2 linked regions of the Struthio camelus genome follow. The protein of the gene in region 2 purifies or fractionates together with the protein of the main gene of each other region. This does not show direct contact. Links are inferred from orthologs where the notes say so. Each region holds a gene or a part of one and is shown on either strand. Other genes may lie near its edges.

What was found. Proteins that work in one complex are often made in the same cells at the same time.
Region 1: the proteins of NFKBIA (region 2) and RELB purify together in Homo sapiens (affinity purification with mass spectrometry; 4 studies listed by BioGRID and IntAct, counting the BioPlex papers as one, with this or other methods). This does not show direct contact. The link is inferred for Struthio camelus from reciprocal best matches to the Homo sapiens genes NFKBIA and RELB.

Annotation. Positions count from the first base shown.
Region 1 is NC_090957.1:1,342,748-1,352,380, reverse strand, and holds the start of RELB (transcription factor RelB), read left to right. Parts: upstream 1-5,851; 5' UTR 5,852-5,926; coding exon 5,927-5,942; intron 5,943-6,941; coding exon 6,942-6,995; intron 6,996-7,163; coding exon 7,164-7,172; intron 7,173-7,658; coding exon 7,659-8,149; intron 8,150-8,747; coding exon 8,748-8,905; intron 8,906-9,414; coding exon 9,415-9,506; intron 9,507-9,594; coding exon 9,595-9,633. Other genes in the region: putative lipid scramblase CLPTM1, read right to left, coding at 4,616-4,734, 4,827-4,895.
Region 2 is NC_090946.1:55,425,396-55,434,847, reverse strand, and holds NFKBIA (NF-kappa-B inhibitor alpha), read left to right. Parts: upstream 1-5,650; 5' UTR 5,651-5,686; coding exon 5,687-5,940; intron 5,941-6,235; coding exon 6,236-6,344; intron 6,345-6,793; coding exon 6,794-7,004; intron 7,005-7,504; coding exon 7,505-7,593; intron 7,594-7,712; coding exon 7,713-7,973; intron 7,974-8,499; coding exon 8,500-8,547; 3' UTR 8,548-9,239; downstream 9,240-9,452. UniProt on the Homo sapiens protein: Inhibits the activity of dimeric NF-kappa-B/REL complexes by trapping REL (RELA/p65 and NFKB1/p50) dimers in the cytoplasm by masking their nuclear localization signals.

The sequences.
Region 1 (9,633 bases), on a different chromosome or scaffold from region 2:
GAAACAGCGGGCAGCACTGGCAGCAATAGCCGGCAACCAAACAACTCCTCTCCGAGACTGAACGATGGCCAGAAGCACAGAGTAAATGACTTCACGGAGAGAAACGGGCTCCAATCCATTAGAGTTACTTTCCTAGATGTCCATGCCACGAGGAAGCCCAGTTTTCAGGTGGAAGACTGGAGATGCGCTGAATTCAGTCAGGATTTCACTCGTGAAAACTGTCTTGTTGCGCTGGGTCAGAGCTTTTGAGAAAGTCTGAGCGCAAGGGTTTAAACAGAAAGCCCTGAGCTGTCAGAGCCGAGAAGATGCACCAAGCAAGTCTCCCTGCACACTTCTCGCTGACCTGGAGGAAACGCACAGAGCCCAGCACCAAGTCCACACTGCCGGCTCTCCTGCAAACTCACCCAGGTTAATAGATCCAAAGAGTTAACTGTCTTGTTCCCTCCCGGCTACGTACCACGCGGGACTGCCAAAGTATCCCGCTCAAACAGTCACAACAAGGCCTGCAGCCAGCTCAACATGACTGTATAGAGAGTTTATCTTCTAGAACAACCTAGAGCATTACTGGTTGTACAGGGAAGGTTTGGGAGCCTATTTCTTCTTCAAAAGACAGGGGTTTCAAAAACCAGAGCAGACACGAGGCATGATGTTCGTACACTGAAAGCAAAACATCACCCACTCCCCGTCGGAGCAGCCCACTCCGGGTTAGGCGATGGGACTGCTCTCCACCTACCAGCAAGCGTGATTTTTTCCCTCGCGCCTCCTAGCCCCTTCTCTGCCCTTCAACCACAACACAGGGAACGACTTCAAGCGCCTCCGCTGCGAAAGCTCTTTGTTCGCCGCGATCGCTACGCGATGAGATGATTTAGTGCTCTCTCCTGGCCACGCGACTCTGGTTTTCCTGGCCAGCAGACAGGCCACAGGGTCACGCTTGCTGTGCAGGAGAGCTCTTCTAGCCATTCAGAGGGATTCGCCAAGGGAAATGACACTTTGGAGAGGAACAAATCTGCCCTCGGTGAGACAGAAACAAAAAGACAGACCGACTTCCCTCCCAGGAGAAGCGCAGCTTCTCAGGACACTTCAGAGAAGCACAAGGGAAGGCAGTGCACTGAACGAGGGTGGACGCACGGAGACTTTGCGCGTGAAAGAGCGGAAGTGTAAAGGAGTCACAGCTTTCATGATTCTCAACCCCTTCATCAGCCCCTGATGTAGCAGGTCCAAGACCCAAGAGCACGTCCACAGCAGGTCTGTCGGCTCCAGCATCCAGAATTCCTCACCGCAACGCGGACAAGGCTGGGAAGAACCACTCTGCCTCCTGATAAGAACACAGATTTGGATTGTAAGCGTCCAAATACGCAGCGCTGGCTCCCAGCAGGCATCACGAGGCAGGCACTATGGCAAGAACTGCCGAGAAGCCTTCAGTGAGGGCAGCGATGCAGCCGAGCCACCTGATCTGCCTTCATCCTAGGAAAAGCATCCCTGCAGTGCCCGAGTCTGAGAGAAGAGATGGGACAAGGCAAACCCTGGCTGTCCCTGCTTACACTCACAGAGTTCCTCGTTTTCACGGGACTGGAGAGATGCAGAGAGCGGTGCAGCCAAATATGGAGGTACAGTCTTGCGAGCACCCTCAAGATCCCACCGCTCCCCATGGGGCCAGCTGGGTTTGGGCTGCTGAGATCAGCCTCTAAGCCAAACTGCAGCCGGAGGGAAGGCTGGGTTGCAGCTTCACAGGGCCAAAGGAGGGCCCCAAAACCCCACACGAGACGCGTGGGCTGTTCTGCCATCGCAGCGTCAGGTGGGAAAGCTCAGCGCTACCTGGGGCATTGCTGACAGGGTTGGCAGGGTTTTACGGTGGCTCAGCAGCAGCCTGCCATCCTTGAGTGATCTTTTCTCTCCATACGGGTCCACACGGGTTCACCAAGGCTCCGGATGAGCCCTGAAGAGGAGCTGCCAGTCTGCCAGGGAGGCGAGGTCAGTCAAAAAAGCCCTGCCTGAGGCAGTCCAAAGTCCATCCAGCAGTTTGGGTTGAAGAAAGGCATCCGAGGTGTTGGAGAACTGAGTCACAAACATGTCCGAGGCAGCTCATCCACTCCAGCCCCATGCGGGAGCTCAGTTCAGCCCAGAAAACTCTCCCAAGCAGAAGTTCATTAGGGCCTTCAGGCTAGAAATCTGTGAGGGCAATGAGTCCCATGAACTGTTGCATCACCCTGGGACCATCCAGATGCATTTTTAACAGCTGGTTTTACTCCTGGGGCTTCATTTTGCCCCCTACTACCTGTTTAGTACTCCCAAACCACAGCTCCTTTACTTTCCTTAGCCATCCTACAGCCCAAGATCTCTGCAAGAGCATACAACGCGGTGTTTTAAAACAGCCTGCTCCAGCTGTACAAACCTGGCCACAACCAGAAACACCCCGGGCTCCTCTTTCCCCACCTGAGGAAATCTGCTTTGCACCAGAGACCAAGCTGAAGCAGGCGAGACCATCGGCACCCCCCGGGGAAGTGCAGCGCCCCTAGGACATGGACGGCAGGGCCTTTCGCCTGCTTGGCGGCGCCGCCGCTCAGCCAAAGGAGCATTTGAAGGGCTCTGCGCCACAACCTGGACTTTGGATCCCTCTCGACAAGTCATAGAGGACACCGACGCCTCCTCGGAGGAGAACAGGAAGCACACTCAGCCTGTTCAAGCAGCTGCTCCTGCCTGCGATGAACCAATCTCTGAACTTCTACGTTTATCTCAGCCACAGAAGAACAGCTCGAGGCTATAAAAGCTGCAAAGTAGCTCAAGATCCCGGAGTTCAGGCAAAGCCCTGCGCCGGTCGGGCGTGTAGCCCCGTGGGTTACGGGCCCTGCGTCAGCACCTCGGGGCGCTCTCGCCAGCCAGCGACGGTCACACGTCACACCTGAGCCACCCTCACGGTCATGAGGCCCCACTGGCAGGGGCTTGCCAAGGCTGCTTGGATCAGAGGCAGCTTGCCAGGGACCCTGGCGTCCGGGGAAAAGGAGGGGGGAGCTACCAGGCTTTTCTCCCTCTCTGACATGAGCCCAGGAACCTGAGGGATCCTCAGTACCTTCCTCTCATCTACGAGGGACCCCAGGGTCCACTCAGATGTGAGCGGGCCAGGTCGCTGTGCCCCTGCACCAGGAACCCTGCTGTCCGAGGGATTTTGGAGATGGGTGGCAGCACCTCTCCTGGGACCCCACAGCCTAGGGGTATCAGGGAGGAGGAGATGCACTCCTTCCCCTTCAGGGATCCCCAGAGAGACGTACAACAGGACGTGACGGGATGAGGAAGTACCCCAGCACCCAACGGCAGAGCGGAGCAGGGGACACAGCGGGATGGGACACAACCCCCAGTGCCCCGTCACACACTGGGGAAGGACACAGTGGGACAGGGCACGACCCCCAGCACCCTGCCACACCACTGGGGGGGGGGGACACGAGGGGACAGGGCACGACCCCCAGCACCCTGCCACACCACTGGGGGGGGGGGGTCACGAGGGGACAGGGCACGACCCCCAGCACCCTGCCACACCACTGGGGGGGAACACGAGGGGACAGGGCACGACCCCCAGCACCCTGCCACACCACTGGGGGGGGGGGGGACACGAGGGGACAGGGCACGACCCCCAGCACCCTGCCACACCACTGGGGGGGGGGGGACACGAGGGGACAGGGCACGACCCCCAGCACCCTGCCACACCACTGGGGGGGGGGGACACGAGGGGACAGGGCACGACCCCCAGCACCCTGCCACACCACTGGGGGGGGGACACGAGGGGACAGGGCACGACCCCCAGCACCCTGCCACACCACTGGGGGGGGGGGACACGAGGGGACAGGGCACGACCCCCAGCACCCTGCCACACCACTGGGGGGGGGGGTCACGAGGGGACAGGGCACGACCCCCAGCACCCTGCCACACCACTGGGGGGGAACACGAGGGGACAGGGCACGACCCCCAGCACCCTGCCACACCACTGGGGGGGGGGGGGGACACGAGGGGACAGGGCACGACCCCCAGCACCCTGCCACACCACTGGGGGGGGGGGACACGAGGGGACAGGGCACGACCCCCAGCACCCTGCCACACCACTGGGGGGGGGGGACACGAGGGGACAGGGCACGACCCCCAGCACCCTGCCACACCACTGGGGGGGGGGGACACGAGGGGACAGGGCACGACCCCCAGCACCCTGCCACACCACTGGGGGGGGGGGGACACGAGGGGACAGGGCACGACCCCCAGCACCCTGCCACACCACTGGGGGGGGGGGACACGAGGGGACAGGGCACGACCCCCAGCACCCTGCCACACCACTGGGGGGGGGGGACACGAGGGGACAGGGCACGACCCCCAGCACCCTGCCACACCACTGGGGGGGGGGGGACACGAGGGGACAGGGCACGACCCCCAGCACCCTGCCACACCACGGGGGGGGGGGGCGGGCACAACCCCCGTTGCCCGCTGACCCCGGGGGGAAGGACACGGCGGGGCAGCTCCCGACCCCCGGGGCACGACGGGGGGAGGGGGGGGGCCCAGTCCTGTTGCCCCCCCCCTCCCCGGTAGGCCCGGGCGCCGGTGGTGCCAGGGCTGCGGGCGGGGACCCGCGGCTCACCGGAACAAGACGCCTTTGATGACCTGCCAGGCGTTGGGCGCCGGCTGCTGCCGCTGCGTCTCGGCCGCCGCCGCCGCTTCGCCGCCGCCGCCACCGGCGCTCCCGTTACTGGTCACCTGCTGAAGGGAAGCAAAGAGGGCGGACGAGGCCGTCAAACGCGCCCCACCGCTTCCCCCGGGGCCGCTCCCGACCCGGCCGGGGCCGCCCCTACCTGCTCCGGGCCCGGCCCGGGCCCCGCCGCCGCCGCCGCCGCCGCCGCCTCCGTCTCCGGCGCCGCCATCTTGCTGCGCCGCTACTCGCGCGGCTCTCGCGAGAGGGGACGAGCGGGCGCGAGCTGGCGGGGCGCCGCGTCACGTGACGGCGGGCGGAGCCGGGGCGGGGCTACGAGCTGGGGGCGGGGCTACGAGCTGGGGGCGGGGCTACGAGCTGGGGGCGGGGCGCCGGTAACGTTACCGGGAGTTTCTCAGGGGTCCCGTGCGGGGGGGGGGGGAGGTGAGCGGACCGGACCGGGAAGCTCCCAAGGGAAGTCGGCACGGTTCTCGGGGCGGTGACTCGGAGGGTGCTGGAAGAGGTTCCCGGGAGGCTGCCGGGGGATCCCGGTAGGGGTCCCGCAGACGGTCACCGGGAGGCTGCCGGGGGCCCGGGCAGGGGTCTGCAGGGGGGTGACCGGGAGGCTCCCGGGGGCCCTAGAAGGGGTAACCGGGAGGCTGCCGGGAGGCTGCCAGGGGATCCCGGTAGGGGTCCCGCAGACGGTCACCGAGAGGCTGCCGGGGGGCCCGGGCAGGGGTCTGCAGGGGGGTGACCGGGAGGCTCCCGGGGGCCCTAGAAGGGGTAACCGGGAGGTAACCGGGAGGCTGCCGAGGGCCCGGGCAGGGGTCTGCAGGGGGGTGACCGGGGAGCTCCCGGGGGTAACCGGGAGGTAACCGGGATGGCTCCCGGCGGCCTGGGCCGGTGCCCCCATATGCTGCCAGGCCCGGGCAGGGCTCCCGCTGCCCCCGTGGCCAGGCCCGACCCGCTCCGCTGCCGGTGGAGGCGCCGCCCGCGCGGGGTTTCCCGGCCCGCCCCGCGGCGATGACCTCAGCGGGCGCAGCCAATGGCGGCGCCGCCCGCGCGGGGTTTCCCGGCCCGCCCCGCGGCGATGACCTCAGCGGGGGCAGCCAATGGCGGCGCCGCCCGCGCGGGGATTTCCAGCTCCGGCGGCCGCGCGGCCTCGGCCTGCGGCGGCGGCGGCGGCGGCGACGGCGGCGGCGGCCGGGGGGGCGGCGGCGGCGGCGGCGGCGGGGGCGGCACCACCACCACTACCGGCGGGATATGGCCTTGCCGCTCGGTGAGCGCGGGGCCCCCGCTGCCTGCCGCGGGGGGCAGGGCCCGCTGCTGGGGGCGGGCCCGGGGCCTGGCCGGGTTGGGGGAGGGGGGGGGTCGGTTGCCTTTTGTTGGAGGAGGGGGGGGGTACGGTCCTGGGGGACCCTCCCCGGTCCCCGTTTTGGGGGGAGGCAGGTCCCTGCTGGCGGTGGGGTGGGGTGTGATCTCGGCCCCCCCCCTTCTCCCGGTGCCTGTACTAGGGGTTTGGCGGGGGGGGCAGGGTTCTGGGGACCCCCCCCCCCGGTCCTTGTGATGGGGGGGGGGATTCGGGTGCTTGCTGGGGGAGGATGTGATCCTGGGACCTCCCCCCCCCCCCCGAAGTTCCTGTCTGGAGAGATTTTGGGGGGAGCAAATCCCTGTTGGAGGGGGGTGACGTTCCCCCCCCCCCAGTCTCTGTTGTGGGAGATTTGGGGGGGTGCAGAGTGCTCGGGGAGGGGCACAGTCCTGGGGACTTCCTGATTGCTGGGCTTGGGGGAGGCAGATCCATAATGGGAGGGGAGACATGATCTTGGGGACCCCCCAGTCCATGTCCTGGGAGATTTGAGGGGGAGGGCAGAGCACTTAGTGGGGGGCACAGTCCTGGGGAACCCCTGATCCCTGCTCTTGGGGGGGGGGAAACAGATCCCTCCTTGCTGGGGGGGGGGACACGATATTGGGATCCCTTCCACCCCAAATCCCTGTCATGGGAGGTTTTGGGGGGAATAAATCCTTACTGGGGGGCACAGTTCTGGGGACCCCCCCCAATGCCTGCACTGGGGTTTTTTTGGGGGTACCCCCATTCCCCACCCTGGGGGGAGCTGTCACCCTTGAGACCCCCCTGGTCCTGTCGGGGGGGGGGGTCCTGATCCCAGAGGTGCCCCTCCCCAAGTCCCTGCCCTTGGCTGGCAGGAGGCCGAGGTCCCCTGTGCCGTTAGGTGGGGCTGAGAGGGTGCACCCTGGGGTGACAGCGCCGGTGTCCCCGCAGGAGCTGCCCTCCAGGATCCCAGCTTGGCCATGGCGCACGCCGCACCTGTGGCTGGTAAGAACCCCCCCCATTCCCCCTCCCTGTGGTGCTCGGGGTGGCGGGGCCCAGGCGTCCGGGCTTGGCGGGGGAGAGCCGTGCCTCCTTGGGTGCGAGTTGGGGCAGGGGGGTGCGGGAGGAAGCCTCAATTTTTTCTTTTTCTTTTTTTCCCCTTCCTTTTTGCAGACGATTTAGGTGAGTGGACCGTGGAGGGGGGTCGGTAGGCGCAGCCCCGTGTGTTGGCAGGACCTCGGCCAGAGCAGCATCTCGGAGCTTCGGGTGGTAAAACCGGAGATCTCCGACAAGGGGGTCCCTGCGTGCACCTGAAGCAGCTGGATCCATCCTTTTCCGGGGCACCACGAGCAGGAGTTCAGGGTGCAGAGCTGTGTCCGGTCGAGCGAGCTGCCCCCGCGGCCGCCGTCCCGGAGCGTCAAGGATCGAGGGGATCGAGGGGAAAAGACTGAGTAACACCCACGGGGATGCGACGGGCAGGAGGGTTGGGGCATCTTGTCCCCTAGCTGTGGCCGCTCTGTCCCAAGCGTGGCGGAGGAGATGTTTGTGGGTGGCAACGGGGCAGGATCTGGCCAGTCCGTCCATCATGTGGCGGATGGGAGTTGTCGGGGCTGGGTATTGAGGGATTTGTGGCGGGCTCGGGCACGTTATTCCCTCCTCGTCCCTCAGAGATCATTGAGGAGCTCATCAAGGAGGACGGTTTCCAGCCAGATCCGGCCCCCGCCTTGCCCAAGCTGTTGTCCAAAAGCTCGGCCAAGCTGGTGGCCCGTGGCTCCAGCCCGACGGTGGCCACCCGGCCGCTGCGCCCCGTTGAGCCCTGCCCGGCGACGGCCGGGCTGGCACCCTATGGGACCCCGCACGGCCCTGGGGCCCCGCTGCTGCCCGCCGACACGCGTTCGCCGCAGCTCGCCCAGAACCTCAGCACCCTCTCGCTGTCGCCCAAGCTGGTGCCGCGGGGCACGGCGGGCCCCGGCGGGCGGCACCGCTGGTCTCTGGGCAAGGACCAGCTGGAGGAGCTGCTGGAGCCGCCCAAGCTGGTGATCACGGAGCAGCCCAAGCAGCGGGGCATGCGTTTCCGCTACGAGTGCGAGGGCCGCTCGGCCGGCAGCATCCTGGGCGAGAGCAGCACTGATGCCAGTAAGACCCTGCCGGCTATTGAGGTGAGCTTCGGAGGCAGCCTGGGGCGCGTGGCTCCCTGCTTGCTCGGAGGTGGGGACCGTGAGGTCCTACGGGTGCTGGGGGCCAGAGTCCTGGGATGTCTGGAGCCTCATGGGTGCTGGGGGAGCGTTGAAGCCCTGTGGGTGCCATGGGGTGTGGAATCCCCATCAGTGCCAGAGCCAGGTGGGTGCTGGGGAGGTGCTGAAGCTCCACTGATGCTATTGCCCCATGGCTGCCAGGGACTCAGAGCCCCATGGGTGCCAGAGGGCTGCTGGAGTCCCTTAGGTGCTTAGTGCCCCTCCATGTCTCTGGGTGCCCGTCCCTGCTCAGAGGGTCTCCTGTGTCAGAGTAGCAGGGATGTGCTGACAGCTCATGTCTCCCTGGGGTAGTTGGGTGCTGGGGAGGGTGCTAGAGCCCCCCGCAGGGGTGCTGAAGCCTTGTGATTATCACGGAGCTGGAGCCCCATGGGTGCTGGGGGTGGTGCTGAGATCGCAGAAGGTGCCGGAGCCCCACGGATGCTGGGATGCCCGTATTCCTGGTGCCCCCCCCCCCCCCGCGTCGGTTTAGCCGGTGCAGCGCCCACAGCTCGTGTCCCACCAGCTGCTGAACTGCCACGCGATCCCTGAGGTGAAGGTGACGGCATGCCTGGTGTGGAAGGACTGGCCCTACCGCGTCCACCCCCATGGCCTCGTGGGCAAGGACTGCAGCAACGGGCTCTGCGAGGTCGTCCTCAAACCCCAGACCAACCCCAAGCACAGGTACGGCTGCGCTGTGACACTGGGATGAGTCCTGTGGCCTGCAGGGAGCTGTGCCAGGCTGGTGCGGGGAGCAGAGATATCCCCCACCCACCCCAGGACCCTGGCGTCAATTCGCAGAGGTGCTGTGCTGAAGCTGGTGACGACTAGTTGTCTGCATTCCCTAGGAGGGACGTGGGGTCTCGGAGGTGGAGCAGGGGGGTGGGATGCCTGGAGGTTGGAGCGTACTGGAGGTCGAGCTGTGCCCTGTTGTCTGCCCGTGGCTTTGGGGGCGCCCAGGCACCGATGTGTTCCTCGGTGGTCGTTTAACTGCCGTCCCTGGGTGCAAGCGATGCCTGTTTTGGAGATGATGGAGCCACGGTGGTCCGTGCAGGGCCTTGTCTTCTGGGAACGGACACGCTGGGGAACTGCCCAGCCCCCTGAGACAAAGCTGAGAGGAGCAAGGTGCCTGGGTGCCCTCAGGTTCTGCAGGGGGGAGCTGCCTCTCCAGCACGCCTCTGCTCCCCCGGCAGCTTTAGCAACCTTGGTATCCAGTGTGTGAAAAAAAAGGAGATCGAGATGGCGATAGAGAAGAAGCTGCAGCTGGGCATCGACCCCTTCAAAGGTGAGTGGCTTGAGCAGAAGCATTTCTTGGGGGCCTGGGACCCCCGCTCCTGGGCAGCAGCTGATTTTTGCCTTCTTCTCTGCCCCAGCTGGGTCCCTCAAGAACCACCAGGAGGTAGACATGAACG
Region 2 (9,452 bases):
CTCAGGGTTATGCTGTTAGTATTCTGTCTAGTATTTCCTGTTTCCTTCCTTCTCAGCTCCTCTGCTGTCTCAAAGACACACGGTTGCAGCAGTCAGTGCATTAAGCCCCTGTGCTTGCCACATCCGTCCTCAGGGAAATCCCTGAGCCCACACAGTTCAGCTTCTAATTAAGGCTTGCCATGTGCTTGTCTTCTGGGGAGGGCTCCAACTGCTGCAGCTGGTTACATATCACAAGTGTACGGGCTTTTTATGTTTATCCAGAACGAAAAGCAGCCATTGCACCCGCCAGCTTCAGGGAAAAGGGTTGCACAAAAGCATGAAGGGGCCCAGAGCAACTGTGACCTGCTACGGCTTGAAACGTCCAAGCGCCCACTGTGAAGCCGGGGTGCTCCTGGGCTGCAAGCCAGCAGCTTGAGACAAGTATATCGCCTAGTACCACGGGGAAATCTGGATCTAGCTCCAACTTCAACTCTCTGGATCCATAATCCAGGAAATAGGAAACTATGTCCTTTCTCGACGTGTCTACGTTTGCTGGCCCATACTCCTCCCCTGCGCCCGGCAGTGTTTCTCGTCCTGCGTTCCCACGGGGTCCGTTTTCCATGGAGAAACCCCCAAGGTTTCTCTCTCCACCTTTGCAAGATTCTTACTTGCTGGAAAAACTAGAGAATGTAGCATTACTAAATGGCCCAGCTGCCAGTGGGGGGGAAAGTCCCTGCTTAATTTCAATCGCTAGTGTGCTCCCAGATCATTTTTTCCTTGTCAGGTGCTTCCACTCTGCTTGCAACCGAAGAAGGGGCTGTACTGACAGGTAACAACACTACTCATAATGCTAAAGGGAAAGTTGTACAAGCTCTGCTTCTCTTCTCTTCCCCCACCCCTAGCCTCTTCTTTCCTATGTGAAACACGAACGCTAGCAAGCTTTGCTGCATCAAGAAACAAGCATCAGCTTAAGGAATAAGCATTGCATATTGCATGCTTTAACAAAACTTCCATGTGAGAAATAGGAATGACACTAGAGAAAACTTGTCTTCCAAGCAGCAGCCATTTTCAAATGAACTGAGCTATGTTTACTCTTAAGGCATAACAATAAAAGCAGTTTAAATTTATATGATACATCTCATCCCTAAGGATCTCCAGAAATGCAACAAATTTATATATAAACAGCCCACAGTTCACTCAGAGAAATGCAGATCTTCCCTGGGACACAACACATGAATTTAAGAGATGCCAGAAATAAGCTTCAGTCTAAAAATAAAAACAAAGGAGACCATAGTAGTAGCTGCAAATCTGGGTAGAAGTAATGCAACAAACCTCACCAGGCTCTGGCCAGGACACCCGCGTTAACTCCGTTTCTGTATCTGTGGAATATACATAGGATTTTAAATCCCGTAATCTGGACCTTAGCTTTATATGCCAAAAGGTCCCTCCAGCACTGTTTGCTTGGATATTATGTCAGCCTGAATAAGCCAGAGAAATACTGTGACTAACATACTATTTGAAGCACCTGTCACATGGCCACCTCTGATCAAAATGCGTGACGAGATAGGTGCAGAGGCCACAGCGTGTGTAAAACCCAGAAGCTCCCATCTAGGCTGACAAAAATGAACTTTGGTTAAGATTTCCATGACCTCATTTGGCCATTTTTTTTTATTGCTTCAAGTTAGTAACAGCCAAATTATTATTAGAAAGCAGGAGGATATTTTCCTGTTCTCGCTGTTTAACACTAGAGTCCAGCAAATTGTTTGAATCTGACAGCTGCCCAGTTCTCATCTCTGTAGCAGCTCTAGATGGGAGGCTGAAATGTGCCAATTTTAGTTGCAAAATGTTATCTGAATGACAATGTGAGGTGTTCTCTGGCTTCCGTTGCCCTAGCAAGGTCCTTAATTTTTTGGAGCAGTGAAACGGAGCCCTGTTCCAAAGAGCATACGGGTCAGGTAAGAGGTAGCTACACCACATGTATGCATCCAGATTGCCAGACTGAGAGCAGAAGAAATGCACTTTTACACAACTCTTTTGCTTTGCTTATGGTTTCAGCAGCCTGGGCCAAGGTCCTGCTGAATGTTGTGAACTACTTTTCCTGTTATGTTTACTGCTAAACTTGCATCGTCCTCGAGATTAAATGGGAGGAAATAGTTAATAGGTATCTGCAGCAGCCATCAGAGAAGGACGAAGTTGAGGAACCAACGCTGGTAATCAACAGCACCACAGCAACAGCACTAGACAGCTCTCATGATTAGTGTGGCAATCAGGAAATTACAGCTTAATGTGTTTGCTTGAGAAAGCAGCACGAGAATCTTTCCTGTACTTTAAAAACTGATTAAAATCCTACTGCCCCTTTTCAGTATTCAGGCACGCAAGGCTGCTTTTCAAAACCCTGCCAGCTGCGTGCTGCAAGTCAGAATAAAAACAAACACGTCGTTCCTGCAGCCCAACAGCACTGCAAATGGAGCGGTCAAGACACCCAGAGCGGAGGAGACTTTTGCAAAATCCAGGCTTTAGGTATCAGGCGCAAAATCACTTTGCGTGGTTGCAGCCTTTTACCTTGTCAAAGAGCTGTTTAGGCAGCCACTTGGTCTTGCAATGCCCTCCGTACTACGGTGCCCGTGTAACAAAGAACCACACCAGTTTGGACCCTGCAAGACGTCCAAGACACCCCTGCAGACGTCCTTTTCTGAACAAGATGAAACCGCTCCTTTGGTCATGCCGGTGTGGAGACCACTAACACAGTCTCACATAAAAAATGCAGAGAACCTCAGTCTCCTCTCAAGCTGATGAGCATAAGAAGCGCTGCTGCAAAATTTATACATTCACAGCGGAGTATCAGGCCAGAATAAACAAGAGGACCATCAGGCCTCCAGTTTGACAAAAACGACCGCAGTGTTCATAAAGTTTTGCTCCGTTTCAGGAGGGCTAAATTTGATCCTGGGGTTTCATGCGCTGCCCTCTGTCCCCGGGACGAACGCCTGGCCCCATCCCCTGGCAGCCCCCCCAAGTAACACCAGGCAACAGGCTGCATATGAAAGCAGATTTGAGACAGACGGTACATGACCAAAAGGGGAAAAAATGTGTATCCAAAAGCTGAGTTTGTTCCTTCCTTGTATTTTTATTTGTATTTTTATTCACTCATGCTGACTGTGTAGAAAATTGCATAGAATAATTCAGAATGTGTTAATTTGCAAAAAAAAGGACAGGTATTTCAGCAGCATAAAAGCAGTGTCCGTGGCCCTCTTCACAGTTTCAAAACCTTTCTTTTGTATTGCCTTCCACCAGCTCATTCCATCCCGTTCCGCAAATAGTGTAAAACAACATTGTTAGCTGTGAGAAGTCACAGAAAAGATAACTTTTTTTTTTTTTAACATGCATTCCCTCTGCCCTTGCACCCACAGGTTGTCTGTTACTGTCCACATGGGCTGGAGTTGTTTTTTGACCCGCGCTTGAAGGCTGCCTAACACCCTGGGGTGCTGGCCCACGTCTGGGTGCACTGAAAGCTACTTGTACCACCGAGGATGTCATTTTTCTCAGTATGAAGAAAACCAGTCTGCACGGCTGCTGCACCGGGGACGGCCCAGCAGCCGCAGCGGGGCCGGGCAGCAGAGCGGGACCTGCGCCTGGCTGCAGCCAGTGCTGTTTTTGGGGGCAGGAGGCAGGCTAATCTTGGCACGACTTTCCACAGAGAAGTCATTTTCCATCTCCTTTCTGTCCCCTCCAGCTGGCTGACGTAGCACTGCGTGCAGAGGTACACAGAGATAAGAGCATCGAAACACGCGTGCCCCCAAAAAGAGGTTTCTGCTGGCAAACGCTCTCCAAAAATAGCCCCGAGTCCGCCTGTGACAGCAGCTGGAGGTCAGCAATGGAAGGAGGCGCCGAGGGGCTTGTTCGGCTGAACTCGGGCTCCAGCCACCTCAGTGAGGAGGGGGAGTTTTCAAATTTAATTTCTATGTGGCTCCAGCAAAACTCTGACTGAAGGCAGCTTCATTCTCGCTGCACTTTAGTCCCCGATCGTTAGATAGTAGATAGAAGGCACTTGCTTTCAAACCCCAGTCTTCACTTTTTGCACAGAAGCAGGTCGGAGAGTCATTTGTTAAGTAAATTTCCCTTGCCGATTTACATTAAGAAGGGGAAACTTTTTCCAGAAAGTCATGACACTTTCATAACCCTTAACCTATAAAAGAAAGAGCTGTATAGCTTTTCTAAACCTGCCCCAAAACCACCAGTGGATTATCCCAGGCCTAATGGTGAATAATGAACAAAAGTCCAGGAAGGGTACAGCTGGGCTGCAGCTTGGGAACATCTGCTCACAGCAAGCCAGCCGTTCTCCTCTGGCGCCCCCTTTCATCTTTGGATTTTCTCACCAATTTTTTTTCAAAGGGATACCATCCCATGGGAAAACTGCAAAAGAAAAAATCTCAGACAATATTAGTCAGTGAGGCCGGCAATAGTTGCAAGGGATGAAAAATTCTTAATGGGAATCCCCCACATCTGAGAAGCAGCAGCAAAATTCACCAGGGAAAAAATCACCACTGCCAGTCCAGCAGACAAGGTCTTTTATCCATGTGGGAGCCTGCGTTTACCCAGCGTTTTCATTACCCGTGGCTGGTGTGACATCAGTAGAGACGATCAAAGAAGAGTAGTTAGAAATGGGTGCAGGGGGAATAATGCCAGGAGATGCTATTTCTTCCTTTAAAAGGTGCGTTCATTTACTGGTACGTGTCTTTTGAAAGAAGCCTGTTTGACGAGAACTGGATGTACAGGCACGGAGCACAGCTCTGTTATTCCTGATCCTGTTGCGCGGAAGCTAAGCGGATACTTACCACCAGCTGCAAGGTGCGGAAGCCTTTACACGCCGCATGCGAGGCAGCACAAGCTACGCGACACCAGCCCGCCCGCCGGCACGGCCGGGCTCTAAGACGCGGTGGCGCGCAGCACTATCTCAACCTCCCCAACAACTGCTGCGCCAAGAAGTTAGCGCCATCACGACACCGTCACGTTTTAGGACGGGCGGCCAGCACCGCGCTGCCCTCTCCCGGACCCCAGGCCGCGCCGGTGCCGCCCCAGGGCCCGGCGGGGAGGGCAGGGAAAGCCCCAGGGCAGCTCTGGCCGGGGCAGTCACCCGAGGCGCAGCAGGGAAGCACCGCAGGAGCGGGGTTAGTCACCCAGGCGGCCCAGTACTTCCCCGGCCGTGGAAAAACGCCAAGTTCCCGCTGCAGTAGAGGCCGGGCGGGCGCAGGGAATTCCTCCGCGCCGCCTCAGCCCGGCCCCCTCCCCTCCCCTCCCCTCGCCGGCCCGGCCCGGCCCACCCGCCCGCGGCGCCCAGCAGGACCAGACTCGTCCGTCGGCCCTTTGAGTGGCTGGAAATTCCCGGCCGCGGCGGCTCCTCCCCCGCAGAAATCCCCTCCGCCCGGTGTATATGCGGCGCGCCGCCGCCGCCGCCGCTCACTCGTAGAGGCCCGCCCGCCCGTCGCGCTGCCGCCAGCAGCAGCAGCAGCAGCAGCAATAGTAGTAGTAATAGCAGCAGCAGCAGCCGCCGCCGCCAGCAGCAATAGCAGTAGTAGTAGTAGTAATAGCAGCAGCAGCAGCAGCAGCCGCCGCCGCTGCAGCGCCGGCACCAACCGCCGCCCTCGGAGCCGCGGCGCGGAGGCGCCCCCCGCCCGCCCGCCCGCCCTCCTCCCGCCGCCCCGCCGCCGCCATGATCAGCGCCCCCCGCCCCGCCGAGCTGGCGGCCATGGAGGGCCGCGAGGCGCTGCGGAAGGAGCGCCCGGCGGGGCCGCTGCAGGACGACCGCCACGACAGCGGGCTGGACTCCATGAAGGACGAGGAGTACTGCCAGCTGGTGAAGGAGCTGCAGGACATCCGGCTCCAGCCCCGCGAGGCCCCGGCCTGGCCGCAGGGCGACCCGCCGCCGCACGCCTGGGCCCAGCAGCTCACCGAGGACGGAGACACGTAAGTCGCTGGGGGGCGGCGGCGGCGGCGGGAGGGGGGGGCCCGGCCGGGAGGCGCCGGGCGGGCCGGGAGGCGCCGCGCCGGGGCAGGGCCGGGGCCGCGGAAAGTCCCTGGAGAGGCGCCAGGAACAAGGCGGCTCCCGGCGGCGCCGCGGAAAGCCCCGGCCGCCCAAAAGCCCCCGGTTTCGCCACGCGGCACATGACGGGCGGGCGGGCGGCGCGGCCCGCTCGTCACCGCTGCTCCTGCGCGGGGGGGTTCTCATTCTTCTCTTTTTGGGGTGGTTTCCTTCCTGCAGCTTCCTCCACTTGGCGATTATTCACGTAGAGAAAGCCCTGAGCCTGGAGGTGATCCGGCAGACGGCCGGCGACCCGGCCTTCCTCAACTTCCAGAACAACCTCAGCCAGGTACTGGTCTGCGCCTGCCACCACCGCCCCGCTGAAAAGGCTCTTTATTTTTTTTCATGGATATGAAATCAAAGCCTGCGCTCAGAAAGGCACCCAGCCGACTCCAGTCAGTGTTAGTGTGACGCTTCCTCTCACCAGCACTGGCATTTAATGCCTGCGTTTTTTAAATGTGATGCAGTGGGTCACAGCCCTCTTCATTGTCACGTTGGTGATACCCTTCATATGACTGTTTGATATCTGGAGAGCTCAGAGTTCATCGCTTCCAGACAAGAAAGCAACTGTGCGATATATCAGGAAGCATAGCAATACCCTGTGTTTAGGGGGTTTGGTTTTAATTGGGCAGAAATCACCAACTGATGGAGGGTCTGCTTGTGCAGACGCTGCTGCTGCTGCTGTGTGCCATGTTTGTAGTGTCACTTACCACCCTGCGGTTTCCCTTTTGTCTGCAGACTCCGCTTCACCTGGCTGTTATCACTGATCAACCTGAAATTGCTGAGAATCTTCTGAAGGCCGGATGTGACCCAGAAATTAGAGACTTCCGAGGAAACACACCGCTCCATATTGCCTGTGAGCAGGGCTCCCTCAGAAGCGTCAGCGTCCTCACGCAGTACTGCCAGCAGCACCACCTCCTCCCTGTCCTACAGGCAACCAACTACAATGGTACGCACAGCCTGCTGCACCAAAATGCCAGTATGCTGTATTGAGGACAGGGTTCTTGTCCTGTAGATCTCAAAGACCTCTGGAAGGGTGGAAAAGGTTGAGGAAGCCAAAGTACATAGCAGGGTCCGATTTCCTTGGTTCGCTTATAGGCCTCCTTACTGATGATCATTGGCTGCCATAACTTTAAGCTCTGTGTTATTAATGACTACTTTTGCAAAATTTAATTAACTCTGAATATTTTATTTTGAGTGTTTCTATTTTTTGTTACAATAATTTGGAGTCAAACACTGAAATAAAGATAAGGCCTCTAAGAAGTCTTTCCAGAAATCTTTCCAAAAATCTTTCCCTGTTGCCCATACGTATTGGAAGTTGGAAGACTTTCTTGGAAAACACCTTTTTGCCCTGGATAAATTGCAATTATTCTGTCCTCCTGACTTTAAGTGAAAGATAACACATTAGATAAGAATTACTCAAATTTTGTCTTACTTTGCATTTTACAGGACACACATGTCTCCATTTGGCATCTATTCAAGGGTATCTGGCTGTTGTTGAATATTTGCTGTCCTTAGGAGCAGATGTAAATGCTCAGGTATGTAATTTATCTATGAATTTAGCTGAACAGGGTTGTGTGGTCATACGAATCAGCAGTTCTGACATGGGCAAGCCTGGCTCTCCTAACACGAAACATCTTGGGTTATTTTCATACAGGAGCCATGCAATGGCAGAACTGCACTACACTTGGCTGTAGACCTGCAGAATTCAGACCTGGTGTCACTTCTGGTGAAACATGGGGCAGATGTGAATAAAGTGACCTACCAGGGCTATTCCCCGTATCAGCTCACGTGGGGAAGAGAGAACTCCAGCATACAGGAACAGCTGAAGGAGTTGACCACAGCTGACCTGCGACTGTTGCCAGAAAGCGAGGACGAGGAGAGCAGTGAATCGGAATCTGAATTCACAGAAGATGAAGTAAGTAGCTATTTGCACCTTTTCATAGGAAGGGCCAAATTCTGCCCTTTCATACGTTTAAGTTGTATTTTTTGTTGGTGCCCTCATTACATATGGGTGACCTCTTACCTATATAACATACAAGTATAAATATCCCCATAAAGTAAGGTTACAATGTCAAGCGTTGGAAGTAGGGCATTTGGGCCAACGTATGAATAGAATGAACGTAAGAATAAAACATTAAAAAACCTTAGGGAATGGAGATTAATTTCGCAGAGCATGATTCTCTGAACATTGTCCTGTTGCTGATACTGACAGAACCTTGTGACATAAAGTTTCAGTTAATTTCTCCTCCCCACAATTTATTTTTCTAACATTCTCCATGCTGTAAATTGCAAATGATAGCAAATGTAACCATTGCTGTGTAGAAATTTCACACGCTACTGAAGTGAGGGCAAGCAGAATTTAGCTGAGTAGATATGATACTCGCAGTAAGAGTTTTGCATTAACAGCATTTTGGGATTTTTTTTTTTTTTTCTCCTTATAGCTTATGTATGACGACTGCCTTATTGGAGGACGACAGTTGGCATTTTAAAGCAGAGGTTTCTGTGAAAGGAAGTGACTGTGTACATATGTATAGGAAAAGGACTGGCATTCTTCATTTAAAAAAAAAAAAAAACTGTGGAAAAAAAGTACAGAAATACTACACTGCCCAGCAAGAAGCACTTAATTGTAACAGCAAGGTTCCACGTTCTGTCCTGTGTTTACATGACAGGAGTGTGATATGTAACATCACTAGAAATCTGTGATTATTAACACGACTTGATAAGGAACCCCATATCCAAAATTATTAACAGTATGAAGAAAACAAGGCTAGAGATCCAGCATACTATTTAGAGAAATGCATTCAAGAGCTGTCTGTAGATGTTTAATACTACGAGGAATACTTGTCCACCCATGACAAGATGGGCTCATATAAGCGTCCCATCTTCTTGGAAATTGTTTCTTAGAGTTCTGTTGGGCTGGTGATACTTCACCTTATTGACTGACCTCAGCTGCTCTGTGGGGTATAGCAGACAGAGGATCAACCAAAGGAATGACCTCTTGGCTGTTATGAGAGAGGTAGCAGTCGTGTTAACTGTGGGCATTGGAAACGATGTGTTTCACACAATGTGTGTCATAATTGCTATACTTTTTAGCAATTGTATAGCTTGTAAATACTGTATATTTTGTTTATAATTATTTTGGTACATGTGAGATGTATTTATTAAAAAAAAGTCAAATTACTGTGTCTGGTCTGTGAAATGATTCATTGTCCACCTCGTCCTGAGCTATGTGGGATCCACGTGGTTAGTTTTAAGAAACAGTTAACACCTAGTAGACCTGTAGGCTTAGATGCTCTTGGGGTTTTAGGTGGTTCACTTCAGTAGGAATAAGGTGTCTGTATAGCTTTGGGCTCTCCGCCGTTCCCCTGCAGCTAATTTTAGAAATACATGTAGG